Linked DNA regions of Neodiprion lecontei. The protein of the gene in region 2 interacts with the protein of the main gene of each other region in a pairwise test. Links are inferred from orthologs where the notes say so. Each region holds a gene or a part of one and is shown on either strand. Other genes may lie near its edges. The genes, in order: PRA1 family protein 3 and WD repeat and FYVE domain-containing protein 2.

What was found.
Region 1: the proteins of WD repeat and FYVE domain-containing protein 2 (region 2) and PRA1 family protein 3 interact in a two-hybrid assay, tested with the Caenorhabditis elegans proteins (2 studies listed by BioGRID). The link is inferred for Neodiprion lecontei from reciprocal best matches to the Caenorhabditis elegans genes wdfy-2 and praf-3.

The regions. Positions count from the first base shown.
Region 1 is NC_060264.1:30,500,427-30,504,360, forward strand, and holds the start of PRA1 family protein 3, read right to left. Parts: upstream 2,444-3,934; 5' UTR 2,228-2,443; coding exon 2,019-2,227; intron 1,766-2,018; coding exon 1,548-1,765; intron 1,462-1,547; coding exon 1,348-1,461; intron 86-1,347; coding exon 1-85. Other genes in the region: peroxisomal multifunctional enzyme type 2, read right to left, coding at 3,486-3,605, 3,673-3,770, 3,845-3,934.
Region 2 is NC_060261.1:12,356,463-12,360,396, forward strand, and holds the start of WD repeat and FYVE domain-containing protein 2, read right to left. Parts: upstream 2,627-3,934; 5' UTR 2,496-2,626; coding exon 2,335-2,495; intron 2,275-2,334; exon of another isoform or gene 2,242-2,274; intron 2,066-2,241; exon of another isoform or gene 1,951-2,065; intron 1,166-1,950; coding exon 1,024-1,165; intron 636-1,023; coding exon 430-635; intron 321-429; coding exon 81-320; intron 1-80. UniProt on the Caenorhabditis elegans protein: Plays a role in coelomocyte endocytosis.

The DNA.
Region 1 (3,934 bases), on a different chromosome or scaffold from region 2:
AAACCCTTCGCACTATCGGCAACGAACTCATGTAGCTCTTGCTTGATCCTCGACTTCGGTATTCCGACGGTCTGCATAGGGTATCCTGGAACGTGAAATCCCGAGTTAAAGATTTTCTTTGAACCCGGTGCTACTCGTCAAAAGAGGACACATTCAGAGAAAACGTTCGGAGAAAAAAATTCGAAAACTTTGAGTCTTATGGAAATCTCTAATTGTCTATTTCACTTCCTGTCACCAGTAATCTCGAATGATTCTAACGATAACAATGGCGAAGAATATCGAGGAATAAAACGGAATGTGCATCAGCATTTTTGGCGATTTTCACTTCATCGACTGAACAATGATCGAAAACAATACGATAGGCTTGATCTTTTACTATCGTAAATTTATTTCAGGCAAAGATATTGTATATATATTTTGCATATATACATACGTATATACAAACTGTAGCCTCAGTCATAAGCTTACAGAAAAATCAAAGGATTGTGAGCTCAGCTCGTTGTTAGATTTTCTGACATAGCAATTCATCTGCGGAATAATTAGATAGTTTTGGACATTGCTGATTTAGTAATATTAAACACGCAATATTTTATGTGAGTTTACTAAACACTAATATACATATATATACCTATACATACAATAAACAAATTTAAAAAAAAAAACGTAAAAAACAATGACACCGAAAAGTCTCTAAATAAATTCTGTCTTTTTTTAAGGCAATAATGTTAAAAACGCCTCAATAACTGTTTGTATATATCTACATATCTATGTTATACGATTATATAAAAATATTATCGTTCACTCATGATCACGAAAAAAATAAACAATATTTTCCATCGAGAACAGAACAAAGAAATTCAGTAAGAATCAACTATCGTCTTGTTAAATTCGGAAAATTGTGGTTTCTATCATAACGTATCCTCGCTCCTCACTTATTTTCCGAATAAACTACAGCGTTCTATTACGCGTAAAGAAGCTAGGCAAAGCGGGGTAACGATGTCTCGCGTTACAAATTACGCCGTATAGATAATTCTAGATTGAAATAAATTAGTTCACAGCTCATTGTTGGATTCTTTGACAGCTGAAATAGCTTTTTTTTTTATCAAAGATTTAAGCGCGAGTGAAATCACGAGCAGTATAAGTATTTAATACGACCGTATATTTATATATTCATTTAAATCACGAAGAAAAATTCATTGAAAAGTTATCATAGGGGCATTCCAAAATCCAACGCCTATTAGGACTTGCACGTTACCCTAATTTAAGGAAACAACTTAGTGAACGTAGTCTGACGATTGTTAATATCGCCATCAGTATTCAATCAGGCAAAGATTTCTTGCTCTATACCGAGCTGTTCCAAAAATATGCTCATCGGGGTGCGTTTTAGTCCTAATTCCTCCATCTTGTTCACTAGCTTGTTCCTGATGTTTCGTAGTCTCATCGATGCGTGAATAAAAGTCACTAAAAACAAAGGAAGTGAGAATTACACTCCTGATCTAGAGACAATATTGCACAAGGCAAAGAGTTTAAAAACATATTCTACTTACCAGAGAAAGGGAGAAGAATACCGATCAGAAATACGAGGAGGGAACCAACTGTGTACGCAAGAAAACTACTTCCAATAAGAATCAAAATAACACCCAGAGCAGGATAATCTTTTTTTGTCTGGTGAATGGCTCGGCCCTCGCACGATGCATAGGCAAACAGTCCGAGAGCAACGCTCATTGATACAGCACCGACCAACATTTTCACAGGATGAATCAGCCTACAAAAAAAAGTGTATGTTACATATGCTTGGAATACAAATGTATATAAATAGTAAATGGATAAGGCTGGAACCAAATAATGAAAAACGCATCGTCAGTTATACATTCCAAATCTAGAAAAGATGAAACTCGTCGAATATCAACATTTTCGGTGTTTTCAAAGTTTAGACACAGCTATTAATAGATCATGAATAACAAATTCGTATCGATGTATGATATATGGGAAGTATAACAATAAGAACGTGATCTCACCCGACAATAAGAAAAATGATGACGGACATAAAGAAGTAGTTGGTTTGGTAGTAAAATAGATTGTTGACAACTCGGTTTCCCCATTTGTCCAGATCCTTGAAATTCGGTATTTGGAACCGGGCCGATTCCAGTAGGAAATCGTCGAGACCCCGTAGGGGAGGAATGACGAGTTCGGAGTTTCCTATACCCACAATCTTTGACCGCTCCATATTCGACGGAGGATCGAACTGCCTCGATTTAGGTAATTCTTGCTTTCAATATTTCGTTGTAATTTCAATATCTTGAAAAACTTTTATTTTTTCGCCGAACGTCGCAGCGAATATTCGTCACCGTTGACCGCAAATGAAAGGATAGGTCACTAACGTCACGTATCTGCAGTTCCTGAACTGCTGCAATCTAAATAAAACAATCACGAACAAAGAAGATACCTTAGAAAGGAAGCCACGGAGGATGAACTGCAAAATCGGGACTTGATACATATTAAGATTTTTTTATATCAAGTTTTATTCTTAGCTAAAAGATGTCGCCACCATATTTTGCTAATCTGTCGAAAGCAGCGCGAATATTTGATACTTAAACTGTAATAAAATTTACATAAGCAAATAATGAGATACATAAGGATAATTTTTGGTTTGCAAGTCCCTGGTATTAAAAGTCTTTTTCGCAATTCTGGATCGAGTTGAGGAGAACGCCCGTTTATACTTTTAAACTCCTAGATTTCCAGGATCACAGTTGCTCTAAATAAAAAATATCCGAGTAAGCGACGATAATTTTTTATATGCCAAAATAAAATATATTGAAAGTATGAAGTGCGTATGAAAGTTGGAAAAATTGTCAAGGTAATATAAGAATGTAAATATTTATTGAACGCCCATCATCCCGCCAGTAGTAATAACGTATAGGTATGAAAAATATACAAATTAATCAGTCAAATTTTCAACTTGACTCACCATTCAGCCCACAAAACACGTTATTTACATGATTATAATACATCTGTCAACTACCATCTATTGTAACGGTAATAATATGTTAATAATTTGTTTCACATAATTTTTTTGCCTTATATTACGAAAGTCATTTTGTACGAAAAAATCCGAGCAGACAAAAAGTGACGCATCACATCTGTTGAATATTCTGTACTATATCGATAAATTCTAGCAGTTGACAACAGGAATTAGTAAGAAGGAATAACAGTATTTGACCCATGAATAATCAACCTTGGAATTATAAATGCATATCGTTTTAAAATATAAACAATTTCTATATTTTTTCACTATTGTGAAATTTCATGGCCTACCAGAGCATGCCCAGAGCAATTTTGCGTTTGCTAAAATATTGAAAATATCTAAACACTATTCATTATTACTAAATAACTAGTTGGGAAGATTAAATTGAAGTACTTGGTAGGAAAAAAATCATCTAAATTGATGTAACGATACAATTGTGATGTTAAAATTGTATTGAAAACTATAGCTTAGCTCTGTTAGCGTCGAGCAGTGTCTTCAACTTTTGTGTTAACATGATGTTTCCCTTAATCTTCAATTTACCACGCATGAAAGCCACTTGTGGATTCAATTTACCAAGTGCCTGGAAATAGTGGGAAAAAAATCGTTTAAGAATCATTGATTTGCAATACTTCTTCAAATATACTTACAATTTCAACCATATCTTTATCTTCAATGGTTAAACTTGTATCAGACTTTCCAGATTTCGGTTCTCCTTTATAAACTTCAGCTTTCTTTAAATCAAGGGCTGAAAGAACGATTTATTTAAAACTGAACCCTGTTCTATTTTTTATTCATGACATAGAGAAGAAATTAACTCACTCCATTGTGCCTTATTTTGCCCAGAACTTGTAATATTGTATACAAATATACCATTTATTTTTTTTACTTGATCTGGATGCGCTTTGACAT
Region 2 (3,934 bases):
AATTTCAAATATTTCACAGAATTTCAGTGATTTCATAATCTTTGTGATCTGCATAATTTGGTTTGACAAAAAATACATACTGATGCCCCTGAAGTTCGTACGCAGTGCCTTGGCAACCTCCGATGTCCCAAACAATAACACTTTGGTCAAAGCTCCCAGAAAATAACAGATCTTTTTCAGAATTCCAGGCGAGCGTGCGGATACTTCCTGTATGACCTTTCAGAGTGGTGATTAGAGTAGCACCAGTGCTCTCCAATTTGAGCATCGATATCTGTCCCGAATAATCTCCGACAAAAGCATGTTTGGTCAATGATGCAAATCTGTGATTACGTCAAGGTTTTTGCATCAGATCTTCGAGCACTGCCGATCAAATTTATTTTAATCGATTCGCGTGTTCTTTATAATCAAAAAATCAATGCAAAAGGATACTGCAATGCCGTGAACCAAGCATCTGTTTGAAAAGAACCAAGCCTATGTCCGGTTTCTGAGCAGTGAAATTGAAAAAGCTTATCTCGGCCGATACTGAGTACCCATTCACAATTCAAAGCGAATATAATTCCAGTAACTCGACCTTGATGAGAAAGGCACTCTCTCATTGGAGTCATGCGGTTGTAGTCAGTTTCCAATATAAAATCCTTTGAAGAATATGAACAATTCATTCCCAAACTTGGGATTCCAGGGAATAAACAACACAAGACAATCCTGGTATTCAAGGTATTTTCACGTAGTTGATAAATAAATTCTTTTAAAGAATTTCAGTTCTGTTCTATTTTGTGAGTATAAATCACTTTAGAAACAATGTTTCACCATAATTTTAAGGACTGTAATAAGCGACACAAGGATATCGATTAAAGTATTAAATATCTGAGGTTTTTCTTTTGAATTTCATTCTTCTTCATGAAAATACCATGAAATTTAAGCGTCAGAACTAATTCAATATTTTCTGGAAGATAAACTGATTGGACAGTTTAGTTGAGAAAACTTTTATAGAGTTCATATTGTTTGTGGAATTCAATTACATACGTTAATAGCTCCGTTTTCTAAGCCGACAAAAAGCTGTCTCGTTTCTGCGCAATAATGCATTGCCGTTGCAGCAGCACCCATGTATTGGCATACGCTGGGCCAATATTGCCCTGAATCGCGTTTTAGCCATACTCTGACGGTCCTGCACAGAAATCGAAAATTAGGAAAAATAATTACATCCAATAAACAATATTTTTGAATGAAAAAGGACATCAATGGAATTGCTATAGAAGAATATTATTCAATTTAGAGACAAAAATAAAATTGGTGTTCAAAATAAAAATTGACAAAGTAACGATTATTTAGCTGTAATTAAATTCAATGAATTGAAATTCTTTTGGATTATGTGAGTCGAAAAAAGCTTTACATTAATTCTTATTGTTATATTAAATGGTGTTTAGTTATTTTTTTTTTCATGCAAGGCAATTGTCATTGTAAAACGATGATTTTCACTCAGGATTGCCGTATATTAAGGTAGCTCCTGGTAAGACACAAAACATGAGAAAAAAAATTTACAACAAAGATTTATAACAATTTGTAAACAAAGTTGAAGAGTATGTTTTTTCATACACTAAAATTACAGAACAGAATATCAACCTAAGAGGGAAAAAAAGGATGGAAAATCGAGTTTTGGACACAAGGAAGAATTGCTTTGAAAGGCTTTGTTGGCAAAATAAAGGTATTTCTTAACCACAGAATTTGATCAAAAACAAGCGGTGTATTCTCAAGTTTGTGATGATTCAAAATATAGTAACAAATCATCGGGTTACTAGTTTCCTTAATAAGCTATGCAAGATTAAAAGTAATTTTTCTGTGATTAGTCAGAGGTTAGGATGTCCATATTTTCAAATTCGGCAGAGCCGTAACGCGCCAGTAGACGAACAAAGGTCTCATGTAGCCAGTTATTTATACGAGTAATTTAGTCACCAGCGTTATTTCATGATTTGATCATTATTATTGAACAAACAGGGACGTATTTGACATGACGCTATTTAGGGACACAAAAAATACGGTCGTACGCGACTCAACTATTTGCCTTTAATGAACTGGTCGAACGCGCAAATGTCTCTACCCTAACAATATTTGTATGTGGCAACTCGAGAAAACGTAAGTAAGAATGTGAAAAGGCTGAAGTACAGATAAAGTCGAATTTTTCTTGATACATTCGAAATACGAATAATGTAGATCAAGACTGGAAAGACTCGAATCTTCACTTACAAGATTTTCGATTATACAGTGCGGAAGCAGATTGAACTGTACAGTACAATGCGGAATAATTAATGCGTAATATTTGGGGTTGAAGGGGCATACCTGTCATCGCAAATACTGATAACACCGTCTTCTCGGGGTATGATTATCGCCCCATTCACGTCGTCATTACAACCTTCTAGCTTCGATAATAGAATTGGTTTTCGAGTCGTACTAAATCTTTCGTTGTTTACACCCGGTGCTGGTTTAATTTCAGCTGCCATTTCAATTTTTTTAATGTCGTAACCTCGCCTGTATGATTATCATTTGACAGTTGTCAGACTTCGACAGTTCCTACAATCGCGGATTTAAGAATATCTTAAGACCTTCAAGCCTGCCGATGGTTCGTAAAATGAATCAGTACGCTGGTTTAGTTGGCAGCACTTCCAATAATGTTCCCTTTCTTACTCCATGAAGCATGTAGTATTTTGATGCTGTACCCTCAGAGCATTCTAAGGCTGTACCCCAGGGAGACTAGAGTAAAAAGGAGACCCATCTCTAATGGAGGAGCATGCGAAAAATTTGTCCTCGAAAATTTGTCGTTTAGTGGTTTTAGATTTCATTAAGAACAGCGCTGTCATTGTAATATTCCGAGGTGAAGTTGATAAGAATTGACTATATACATACATCGATCGTGACTAAAATGAAATTACTTCTGTCTTTTCACCATTCGTTGGATATTTGCGATTTCAGTGCTGTTCAGCGTCAGCCAGCGCAAACCTTAGTGTATGGATTTTTGATGCCGGATCAAATGTATGTACAGAGATGGGACTTCTTTAGCCTAGTCTCCATGCTGTATCCGCTGTATCTCACTCCTAGAGAATTTTCCGTGTTATCAGCTATTTTCGGCATTTCAGAATACCATATTCGCCTAGTGACATTTTGTTTGATTACCAATTTACGCGCCAAATTTTGATAACCGATATTTGAGATTTAGTTTCTTTACAACACATATTCTAATCTAATAATTCTGTTCGCCACGCCGGCGTGATGAGCTGCATCATAGTTGGCCTCGTAATAAAAACCGAGATGATTACGTACAATGGCAATTATAAGTCTGATTAGGTATGTTACAATCTGCAGTGACGGTGATGTAATCTTTAGCGTTTGATCTACTATTATGAGCGCAAAAAAAGTTAAAGAACTGGAATCTACGTTCTCAGCCAGCAACACAAAACGGAGTAGAATATTCGACGATATTTCATGCTCCAGTCATGGATCCACTAATTGGGCTTCAATTTTAAGTTGCTGCCGAAGACATAAGCGGGAGAGAAGGTTGACTTTGAAGGAATATAACCCAAACGAATGCGATTACATTGTTGAGAAACTTGTAATTAAAAGAGTACCTCTGTCATTGTATGCAACGGCAGAAGATTATCAGGAATTCGTCGACGAAAAAAATCATAAAGAAGTAACACATGCTCCCTTAGCTGGTAAAGAGATGAGAGAAAAGCAAGTCTATTCAGCAATGACAGAAGTGGGATCATCGTTATACTTCCTGAAAAACAAAGTACGAGGCGATTTGTCAAATAGACCATCGAACAAAAATTTGAGATTTAACAGAGATGAAGACCTGTTGGATGAGGACACTTTGCAGGCTGGTCCCTCAAATTACTTCGGAAACGTGTCTTCGCGAATTAGAAAAGAAGAAGAGAATGATTAT